Anolis sagrei: one gene and its partners. The protein of the gene in region 3 interacts with the protein of the main gene of each other region in a biochemical or structural test. Links are inferred from orthologs where the notes say so. Each region holds a gene or a part of one and is shown on either strand. Other genes may lie near its edges. The genes, in order: AURKA, TRIM63 and UBE2N.

What was found.
Region 1: the proteins of UBE2N (region 3) and AURKA form a complex in vitro, tested with the Homo sapiens proteins (3 studies listed by BioGRID, with this or other methods). The link is inferred for Anolis sagrei from reciprocal best matches to the Homo sapiens genes UBE2N and AURKA.
Region 2: the proteins of UBE2N (region 3) and TRIM63 form a complex in vitro, tested with the Homo sapiens proteins (2 studies listed by BioGRID). The link is inferred for Anolis sagrei from reciprocal best matches to the Homo sapiens genes UBE2N and TRIM63.

What each region holds. Positions count from the first base shown.
Region 1 is NC_090024.1:226,267,843-226,271,591, forward strand, and holds the start of AURKA (aurora kinase A), read right to left. Parts: upstream 2,552-3,749; 5' UTR 2,467-2,551; exon of another isoform or gene 2,389-2,466; intron 2,359-2,388; exon of another isoform or gene 2,287-2,358; intron 1-2,286. UniProt on the Homo sapiens protein: Mitotic serine/threonine kinase that contributes to the regulation of cell cycle progression.
Region 2 is NC_090034.1:74,269,456-74,273,204, forward strand, and holds the start of TRIM63 (E3 ubiquitin-protein ligase TRIM63), read left to right. Parts: upstream 1-1,350; 5' UTR 1,351-1,490; coding exon 1,491-1,649; intron 1,650-3,749. UniProt on the Homo sapiens protein: E3 ubiquitin ligase. Mediates the ubiquitination and subsequent proteasomal degradation of CKM, GMEB1 and HIBADH.
Region 3 is NC_090025.1:154,604,752-154,608,500, forward strand, and holds the start of UBE2N (ubiquitin-conjugating enzyme E2 N), read right to left. Parts: upstream 2,502-3,749; 5' UTR 2,396-2,501; coding exon 2,366-2,395; intron 1-2,365. UniProt on the Homo sapiens protein: The UBE2V1-UBE2N and UBE2V2-UBE2N heterodimers catalyze the synthesis of non-canonical 'Lys-63'-linked polyubiquitin chains. This type of polyubiquitination does not lead to protein degradation by the proteasome.

The DNA of each region.
Region 1 (3,749 bases), on a different chromosome or scaffold from region 3:
GGAGGGAGCAAGCTTGTTTTCTGCTTCCCTGGAGACTAGGATGTGAAACAATGGCTTCAAACTACAAGAAAGGAGATTCCATCTGAACATGGGGAAGAACTTCCTGACTGTGAGAGCCGTTCAGCAATGGAACTCTCTGCCCTGGAGTGTGGTGGAGGCTCCTTCTTTAGAAGCTTTTAAACAGAGGCTGAATGGCCATCTGTCAGGGGTGGTTTGAATGCAATATTCCTGCGTCTTGGCAGGGGGTTGGACTGGATGGCCCATGAGGTCTCTTCCAACTCTTTGATTCTATAATTCTAAGTGAGTAATGTATCCCTCAGAAGAGAAATTCATCCTGGAAGAGTGATTGTGGGGGAAAGATTTCTCCACTGAAGTTTTCTCACCAAGCCTTGCTTCCAGAACAAGCTTTTTTTTTTTTCAAAATCCACAGGGACAGGAAGTGAGGTGAAATCTTCTGAACAGGAGCACAAACAGCATACCAAACATCACAGGGGTATTAACCCTTCCTTATGCTATCTGAAACATCTATCTATCTAGAATTACACTTTTAAATGTACCTGTTCCAATTTACATACAAATTCAACTTAAGAATGTTGTTTGTAACTTGGTGGCTGCCTGTACCACGCACCTGAAGAATTTGCAGGTTCAGGTGTGGGGAACAATACAATGGTGCCAGATTCTCAAAAACCTAAAAAGGACTGCCTTCGTCATATATGCCTTAAACTGCCTGCTATAGAAGATTCTGCTGACCAGAAGATTCAAACCCGGCATGGGGTGAGCTCCCGGCCATCAGTCCAGCTTCTGATCACCTAGCAGTTTGAAAACAATGTAAGTAGATAAATAGGTGCTGCTTTGGCGGAGAGGTAAAAGGCGACCTGAAAAAACATGCCAGCAAAAAACTGACCAAGAAAGGCATCTATGGAAAATGAAACAACAGCACCTCTCCATGACCGAGTCAAGCACAGAGAGGAAAAGAGAGATGCCTTGCCTCTGTTTATGTATTGTCTGTCTCTGCCAATTTTACAATGGCATTGAATGTTTGCAATAGGAGTCCCCTCAGGAAGATAGAGCAGAATATGGAGTACGAGTATATCTATATATAAATGCTCTGTGCATAATGAGTACCTTAAAAACAAAAGAACCAATGAATGATATAACACCAAATTTGGCAACAAAACGTCTCACAACACAAGGAGTGACCATCACTCAAAAATTTATGATTTTGTCATTTGGGAGTTGCAGTTGCTGGGATTTATAGTTCACCTACAATCAAAGAGCATTCTGAACTCCATCAATGATGGAATTGAACCAAACTTAGTACACAGTTCTTCCATGACCAACAGAAAATACTAGAAGGGTTTGGTGGGCTGTGTCCTTTGGTTTTGGAGTTGTAGTTCACCTACATCCAGAGATCACTGTGGACTCAAACAATGATGGATCTGGACCAAACTTTACACAAATACTCAGTATGTCCAAATGTGAACGCTGGTGGATTTTGGGGAAAATAGAATCTTGACATTTGGGAGTTGTACTTGCTGGGAGTTATAGTTCACCTACAACCAAAGAGCATTCTGAACCCCACCAACAATGGAATTGAAGCAAACTTGGCACGCAGCTCTCCCATGACCAACAGAAAATACTGGAAGGGTTTGGTGGGCTGTGTCCTTTGGTTTTGGAGTTGTAGTTCACCTACATCCAGAGATCACTGTGGACTCAAACAATGATGGATCTGGACCAAACTCTACACAAATACTCAGTATGTCCAAATGTGAACGCTGGTGGAGTTTGGGGAAAATAGAATCTTGACATTTGGGAGTTGTACTTGCTGGGATTTATAGTTCGCCTACAATCAGAGCATTCTGAACCCCACCAACGATAGAATTGGGCGAAACCTCCCACACAGAACCCCCATGTGGGCCACAGCAACGCGTGGCAGGGGACGGCTAGTTATTATTATTATTATTCACATTGGCCTATGATGATGAACCATTGACACATACTGGCTGTTAGGAATTGTGGGAGTTGCAATCCCAAACACCTGAAGGGCCAAAGTTTGTACATGCCTGCTCTATAATGTAGAATCCTGGGATTTGTAGGCTTTATTCTTCTCTTTGGCAGAAGATAATGACCTTTTCAAACTACAACTCCCAGGACTCTCCAGCATAGTTGAAACAGTCTCAAACTGCATTATCCATGCAGTGTGTTGCTTCTCCAGTCTCTATCCAGGGCATGGGAAAGGCAAATTTAGACTAGAACTCCCACCCTCCCCGCTCACTGTATGCTCACCAACTTCCTGCGGTGGTTGCTCCTAAAGGCTTGTTCTTTATGCTTCAAACCCTCTCCCCACAAAAAAAAATGTTCCCAAAAAAGCTTAGAGAAGATAGATACCACGCAAGAGAGCCCCTGAGTAGAAGCTTCCAGGTTAAAACGCTGTGGAAGACTCCCGAGAAGGCCCACTCACCTCCACTCCACACCACTCTGCACTTCCGACGAGCGTTTGAATTCAAACCTCCGCCCGCCTCCTTCAACGCCCTTTAAACCATTCCCGCGCTACGATTGGTCAATCATCTCCCTTTCCTGCTCCGGCGTCCGCTCGCTGATTGGCTGCCTCCGCGTCAGGGCCCGCCCCCTTCCTCCGGTTCCAACTGTCTCAGCTGAAAAGAAACGGGGCCAGCTTCTTTTCTTCCAAGGGTCAGCTCTACTACGCATGCGTCCAACACGACAAGCAAAAAAAAAAAAAAGATAAAGGGGGATTTGAATTGGAAGGGGGCGTGGTCTGTGGAACCTTCCCCAACGCTTCACTTCCTGGTTGTTAAGCTTAACGCTTGAGTTTTTTCTGGCGCGTGCGCTCCTTACGCCGTTTGCGCAACGCTGCCCCCACTGGTTACCGTTTACTCTTCCGCCAGTTGCGCTTCGCTTCGCCTCGCCACGCCCCCTTCGCTCAGTGTTGGGAAGGAGAGAGTTGCTCTTCTCCGTTTGAAATGAGATCTTGGTGGTATCATCAATCCAAACCCATCGCCTGCCTCAAATGTTTAAATACTAAGTTTGTAGCCCAAACTTATATGGAATGGATGTTGTGCTGTGTTATAGAAGGATAATGGAAGGCCACAAGCAACTGTTTTGTACTCTTCAGCTTTGAAGCCACTTGTGGAAGGAAGAGGCCTAATCAGGACTTTGAAAGACTTGACACATTTAGATTGATCAGAAAGTCACAAAAAGGGTCACACTTGCCAGGATTTGTGACTTAACACTTTTTCCAAAGCGACTACTGACAATCAGGAAGTTTCAGCATTTATGGGAAGACGATATAGTGCTCTTGTATGGTTTTTTTAATTCAAAAAATGCCGTATTCTCGCTCACAACTGCATATCTTAAGAGTCAACCCTTCTTTTCTTACCCATTGAGTACAAGACCTGTCAAGAAGAGGATTTCACTCACATTTTGTGAGAGTCATGTCTCGTGTGGTTGTTTTGGCAATTATGGGGTAAGAAGCACTTGAGAGACTCTTCCATTAACAACAACTGATACAAAAGCCGGTTAGGATTTTCCACAAAGAGCAGTTATATCGTACCATTTCAGGCTAGAAGCCAGTCAATTGCATCACAACACAACCAGTGAAAGAAGCACTGTGAACTTCAGAAGAAGCCCATTTCCCTGCCTGTGGGTTTTGTAGGCTGTTCTTATGGGGTAAGAAACACCTGAGGGACTCTTCCATTAACAACAACTGATGAAAATATACAAAAGCCGGT
Region 2 (3,749 bases), on a different chromosome or scaffold from region 3:
CCTCCTCCCAGCTGTTATTGCATCAGCCAATCCCCTGTGAGCCGGGCGGAGGGCGGAGGGCGGGAATTTTGAAACTGCTAAGCCTGTTATCCCTATAAAAATGTCTCTGATTTCTGTAACCACATGCTCTGTAGGCGAATGATTGCTACATTGCATCCTTTTCAGCTGAATCGCTAATAAAACACCTCGGTGCCGCTTCTTCAACTTTGGTGAGATTTATTTGGAATTTTTAAAGAAATAAAAGTTGCTGAAATCTGGCTTCTCCTAGCTCGCCAAAGTAGCGATCCCTCTTTGGTGGGGTCTCAGGGTCCCTCCTCCTGGGAAAGACCCTCCTAAAGTTCCTATCGACTTCAGGTCAACTATAAATCCCAAATGACAAAATCAATCCCCCATAACCCTAGGTAGGTAGGTAGTCCCCTGACATTAAGTCCAGTCATGTCTGACTCTGGGGTGTGGTGCTCATCTCCATTTCTAAGCCGAAGAGCCAGCGTTGTCCGTAGACACCTCCAAGGTCATGTGGCCGGCATGATTGCATGGAGCGCCGTTACCTTCCCACCGGAGCGGTACCTATTGATCTACTCCCATAACCCTACCAGTATTTAAATTTGGGCGTATCAGGTATTTATGCCAAAATTTGGTCCACTGAATGTAAATACAGCCAGCATATCAGATATTTACATTATGATTATGATTCATAACAATAGCAACAGAACAGTATGAAGTAGCAACGAAAATAATGTTATGGTTGGGGGTCACCACAACATGAGGAACTGTATTAAGGGGCCGCAGCATTATGAAGGTTGAGAAGCACTGCCTTAGAGGAAGGAGGCCTGTGCAGATCAGAGAATAAGAGGCAACTAGCTCAAGGTCCAGAGCCACATTGCTGTCAGAGTTGTTAAAAGTCACCCATTGGGAGAGGACAGCAGCTGGTGCTGGAAATAGCAAACAATTTCTTGAGCAGTATAAGTTTAACCCTTGGTTTTATGGAAACAAGGAGGTCTTGGGTTGTGGATCCTGGGGTGGGTGCAGAGCAGGTTCATGTCGCTTACTTAACGCTCGAGGAAGTGTGACCATTTACACAACCGTGGCTCCAGTTTCTTTGTCCAAACAAACAACGAAGGAGAAAAATAAGGTCCATCCCTGGAAACCGACTTCCTCCAGCCATTTGGACAGGTTGTCCCCTCCACCTTGTTTACAGAGCGCAGGCTCTCTCTCTCTGGAGGGGCGATTGCTCCCCCTCCCCATGTGACAGCATGTCACCCTTTAGGAAACACGACCCCCTTCCCAACGGATCCTGCCAGCCGAAGCACATGTGACTCCCAGAGATAAATTATAAATAGACAAGAGCCAGACAAAAGTGCAGAAAGCCACAAGCTGAGCTTTAAGAGGCAGCCGACAAGTGCTCGAGAAGCCCAATAAGAAGACAGTAAGACATTTTCTGCAGAGACTTCCTCCACCTAGGATATAATTCGGAAGCCTCAAACAGGGCAATGGATTATCAGTCAAGCATCATACGGGACTCTAACCCCATGGAGAATCTGGAGAAGCAGTTGATCTGCCCCATCTGCCTGGAGATGTTCACCAAACCCGTGGTGATCCTTCCTTGCCAGCACAACCTCTGCAGGAAATGTGCCAATGACATCTTTCAGGTCAGTAGATCTCCTCCTAATATTGACCCGAAGTGGGTAAATGTCAGTTTCAATACTGCCAATGCTGGAAATAATGTTCAAGGGAGAGGTACAGGGTGAGGGAGATGAAGTGAGACAAGGAAGCAGCTGATGATAACTTTGAAAGCAAAGCTTGGATAAGTTTTTTTTAACTGAAATTCCCAGAATCTTCAAGACCTAGACAACATAATGAACTATCACAGGCACACCGGTCAGGAGAGCTTGCGAGTTGCAATTCAAAAACTATTTTTTTCTGAAAATGGAGTAGTATTTTCACAAAGAGTCAAATTTGCATTTTCGTAGAAGGACCTGTAATGAAATGTCTAGGCCAGTGTTTCTCAACCTGGGTGTCAGGACTCCTGTGGGGTTGGGTGCGAGTGTCAGAGGGGTTGCCAAAGACCATCAGAAAACACAGTATTTTCTGTTGGTCATGGGCATTCTGTATGGCAAGTTTGGCCCAATTCTATCGTTGGTGGGGTTCAGAATGCTCTTTTATTGGAGGTGAACTATAAATCCCAGGAAGTACAACTCCCAAATGTCAAGCTCTAGTGTCCCAAAACTCCACCAGTGTTCATATTTGGGCATATTGAGTATCCGTGCCAAGTTTGGTCCAGATACGTCATTTTTTGAGTCCACAGTGTTCTCTTAGATGGAGGTGCAGGTGAACTATAACTTCCAAACTCAAGGTCAATGCCCACCAAACCCTTCCAGTATTTTATGTTGGTCATGGGAGTTCTGTGTGCCAAGATTGGTTCAATTCCATCATTGGTGGAGTTCAGAATGCTTTTTGATTGTAGGTTAACTATAAATCCCGTCAACTACAACTCCTGGTGGAGCCCCTGGTGGCGCAGTGGGTTAAAGCACTGAGCTGCTGAGCTTGTTGATCGAAAGGTCGCAGGTTCAATTCCGGGGAGTGGCGTGAGCTTCCGCTGTCAGCCCTAGCTTTTGCCAACCTAGCACTTCGAAAACATGCAAATGTGAGTAGATCAATAGGTACCGCTCCGGCGGGAAGGTAACGGCGCTCCATGCAGTCATGCCGGCCACATGACCTTGGAGGTGTCTACGGACAACGCTGGCTCTTCGGCTTAGAAATGGAGATGAGCGCCACACCCCAGAGTCAGACATGACTGGACTTAATGTCAGGGGACTACCTTTACCTTTTTACAACTCCCAAATGACAAAATCAATCCCCACAACCCCACCAGTATTCAAATTTGGGTGTATCAGGTATTTGGTCCAGTGAATGAAAACACATCCTGCATTTCACATATTTACATTACGATTCATAACAGTAGCAAAATTACAAGTATGAAGTAGCAACAAAAATAATTGTGTGGTTGGGGGTCACCGCAACATGAGGAACTATATTCAGAGGCCGCAGCAATAGGAAGATTGAGAAACACTGAACTACAGGATAATCCTCTTTAAGGGAGGACACATAACCTCTATAAGCATCCAATAGAACAATACACCAACTGTTTGTAAAAACTTTGTTGGTAGAAATGGGCAAACTGCAACAAGAACCTAAGAATGGTGCCAATGTGTGCCACTAATTCTGATGAATATGAATTACAACAAATGAGGGGGGTTGGGAAACATTTATAAGTATTTTTTTGTTATCATGGTGCCAAACATTTTCTAAGGAGTCCCTGTCCCAGCCTTTGAAACATCAAACAAAGACAAATCCTCTCCGGATTGTACCTCTTGGTGAAGGTACTGGAAACAATCCCAAAAGGAATCTGTTTCCTATCTCAAGAGGAAGAACCAGCTGATAAGAGGACGGTCTCTTTGGGGCCTCTTCTAGTTGTGACGCAGTTGTTTCCAACAGTGTTGATTGCTGTTGCTTGACTTCCGAGACAACAAAATAAGGGGAGTCAGGAGGACAGCTCAGGGGCAAAGAAGATATTGGATTCGGCTTCTGGAACAGAGATCAAAGTTTTCCCAAGTTCTCATAGTTTGGCTGGCAGTTGGTGCCGTGGGAGTAGTGTTGATACTAAAGCCAAACCTAGCATGACTGACGGCAGAGCTTGCCAAGCTATGTTGGGAAAAAAATAATTTGTTGCCATTGCTCCTTCATAGCTT
Region 3 (3,749 bases):
AAACTGCAAGTCACTTCTGGTGCGAGAAAATTGGCCATCTGCAAGGACATTGCCGAGGGGACACCCAGATGTTTTACCATCCTCATGGGAGAATTCTTTCAGGTCACCGCATGGGGAGCTGAGGCTGACAGAGGGAGCTCAACCCAGTCTTCCTGTATTCAAATCAATGACGTGTCAGTCAGCGATCCTGCTGGCACAAGGGTTTAACTCATTGTGCCATGGAGTGCTATGATAATTTGGGATAAATAGTAAAGCTGGGTTCAGATCAGATATATGGCCTGTCTGGAAGGGCCCTCAAAAGGTGTCTAAATCTGGGTTGCTGTGAGTTTTCTGCACTGTATGGGCATGTTCCAGAAACATTCTCTCCTGATGTTTCACCCACATCTAGGGGGCACATTGGGTTAAAACCTTGTGCCAGCAGGATTGCTGAATGACAGGTCAATAGTTCGCATGAGGGGAAAGCGAGCTGAGTTCCCTCTGTCAGTTCCAGCTCCCCATGCAGTGACATGAGAGAAGCCTCCCACAAGGATGATAAAACATCCGGGTGCCCCCTGTGCAATGCCCTTGCAGAATACTTTGGTTTGAAGCTGCAAGGCCATTAAGTGCTAATCAGAGTGATCAACTGAAACATTCACACTTGCCTCAAACAGATAAGAGTTTTCTCCTGCCCTGGACATTCCACAGATCTATAAACCTCACTTGCCTAGTTTCCAACAAACCTCACAATCTCTGAGGATGCCTACTATAGATGTGGGCGAAACATCAGGAGAGACTGCTTCTGGAACATGCCCATACAGCCCGGAAAACTCACAGCAACCAAGTGATTCCAGCCATGAAAGCCTTTGACAACACAGTGTCTACATCCACTTGCCATGAGTATATCTGCACTGTTGAAGGAATGCAGTTTGACATCGCTTTGATTGCCATGGCTCGCTGCTGCGGAATTATGGCATTTCACAGAACCATAAAGTTGCAAGAGACCCCAAGGGCCATCCAGTCCAACCCCCTTCTTCCATGCTGGAACACACTATAAAAGCCACCCAACAGATGGCCAGAGGAGGAGACTTCATCACGCTCTGAGGACCATACTCCACTGCAAAAGAGCTGTCACCAACAGGAAGTTTTTCCAAATGTTTGGGTGGAATGTCTTTTCCTGCAGCTGGAATCCATTGCTCCTGTTCCTGGTCTTTAGGGCAGTGGAAAACAAGCTTTCCCCTTGAGAGATGTCCTCACTATAAATTTCTAGGTCTCCCAGCATGACAAAAAGGTATGAACCATAGGGTCACCTGGGAGCTGGAAATTCCTAGGGAAGACATTTGAATCAAATCTAGAGAAGTCAAAACCACAAATGTGTACTAGTGATGGGAGTAAAATGGGAGGGGCCTGAGGCTGTTAGGAATGGTGAGAGTTGAAGGCCAAAACAACCAGGGAGAGAGGGTTCAGCTCCCTCTATCCATTCCAGTTCCCCATGTTGGGACATGAGAGAAGCCTCCCACACATGACTGGTAAAACATCCAAAAACTTCCAGGCGTCCCCTGTGTAACGTCCTTGCAGACGGCCAATTCTCTCACACCAGAAGCGACTTGCAGTTACTCAAGTCGCTCCTGACACGTAAAAAAAAAAATTCTGGCAGTGCGGACTCATATAATCCAGTTTACAGCAGAAAACCTAGGATCCGATCTTGGGATATAGGGCCTGTCTGGAAGGAGCCTAAGAGGCGCTCCTGGGTCATGACTGAAACCCGGCCACGCCTCTCCTCCCAAATTGAGGGTCTGGTTTTGAAGCAGAGGCTGGATGGCCATCTGTCGGGAGTGCTTGGCGCGTGTGTTCCCGGGGGTCACTTCCAACTCGGCGATTCTGTGGGCGAAGCGGGCAAGGAGTGGCCCTCCTCACCCTGGCGGAGCAATGCCTGGGCGCTGAGGGCATCATCTGGTGCGCCTTTTGCGGCATTTCCCCGCCATTCCAGCCCGTCCTTGAGTCACAAACAGAGCCGCCTCCCTTCACCGCAGAGGGGCAGCGAGAGAAGGCTGGCGGGAGGGAGAGAGAGAGGCGGCAGGCCTGGCCATTCATTCCCTCGCAGCTCCCTCCTTCCGTCCGCGCGGTCACTCCCACCTGCCCGACTGCCCGCCCGCCTCAAATGGCGGCGCGTTCCCACTCTCCCTGTTGCGGCCCTCAGGCCTCGCAGAGGCGCAAGAGGCAAGGCCAGCTGAGGGCACCGGAAGCGCCGCCTTCCCCGCTGAGTCCCGGCTCAGGGCTCCTCTCCGCCCAAGGCCCAAGGCCCGGCCGAGAGGCCCAAGAGGCCTGTCTCCCTGCGCGGAAGGCCTCAGGCGAGAACGGTGAGGCCGAGGGCGCGAAGCCGACCTACCTTGATGATCCTGCGGGGCAGCCCGGCCATCTTGTCTTATCGGGGATTCAGGCTCCGCTGGGTCTCGGCTCCGCTCGGGGCTCACGCGCTGCCGGAAGGAGTCCGTTCTTCACTTCCGGCGACGTCACCCGCTGGGCCGCTGCCCCGACGCACGCCGGGAAAGGGAGTCCTCGGCGGGGCGCGAGGGCGCCTGGAAGGAAGGCGGAAGGAAGGCCGCGCGGGCTCAAGGCAAGGCAGTTCCTTGCCCTGCCTCATTGCAGTGGGATCCTGGGAGTTGTAGTTTGGTGAGGCGCCGGCATTCTTTGGCAGGAGGAGCAGGCTGGAGCAGACATGGGCAAACTTAGGCCCTCCAGTTGTTTTGGCCTTCAGTTCCCGATAATAGTATGATATATTGTCGCAGGCTTTCATGGCCGGAATCACTGGGCTGTTGTAGTTTTTTTCGGGCTATATGGCCATGTTCTAGAGGCATTTTCTCCTGACGTTTCTCCTGCATCTGTGGCAAGCATCCTCAGATGTAGTGCTACCTCTGAGGATGCTTGCCACAGATGCAGGAGAAACGTCAGGAGAAAATGCCTCTAGAACATGGCCATATAGCCCGAAAAAAACTACAGCAATCCAATAGTATGATAGCTGGGTCCGGAAGCTCCGAGCCTAACGCTGTTTCTACTTCGATCCTTCGGGAGCGCTGAATGCGCAACGCGATATTACAGAAGGAATATAAGAGTTCTTTAATGGTAAAACCCTAACCGAACTCTAAACCTAACCCCTAATCCTAACCTAACTCTAAACCTTACCCTAATCCTAACACAAACCCTAACCCTAAAGCATATTCTAACCTTACCCTAACCCTAACGCAAACCCTAATTCTAAAGCTTACCCTAAATCTTGCCCTAACCCTAAATCTTACCCTAAACCTAACCCTTAATCCTAACCCTAAAGTTTACCTTAACATTACCCTATGCCCAATCCTTACCCTAACCTAAAACCTAACCCAGGGGCGGCTCAACCCATTACGCAAAGTAAGCATTCTCAGTATAGTTGATTTTGCCCAGGGGCGCTCTTGGGGAAAAATAGACCTTGACATATGCGAGTTGTAGTTACTGGGATGTATAGTTCACCTAAAATCAAAGAGCATTCTGAACTCCACCAATGATGGAATTGAACTAAACATGGCACACAGAACTCCCATGATGAACAGAAAATATATATCAGTGATTGGGGGGGGGGGGGCGCCAAAATACTGTTTGCTTACCGTTGAAAATTACCTAGGGCCGCCTCTGACCTAACCCTAAACCTCATCCCAACCCTCCCCTCATTTCTAGCCTTCTACCCTTACGTGGTCCCTTCTCTTATTCACAACCACTCTTGCAAAATGTGCATAACG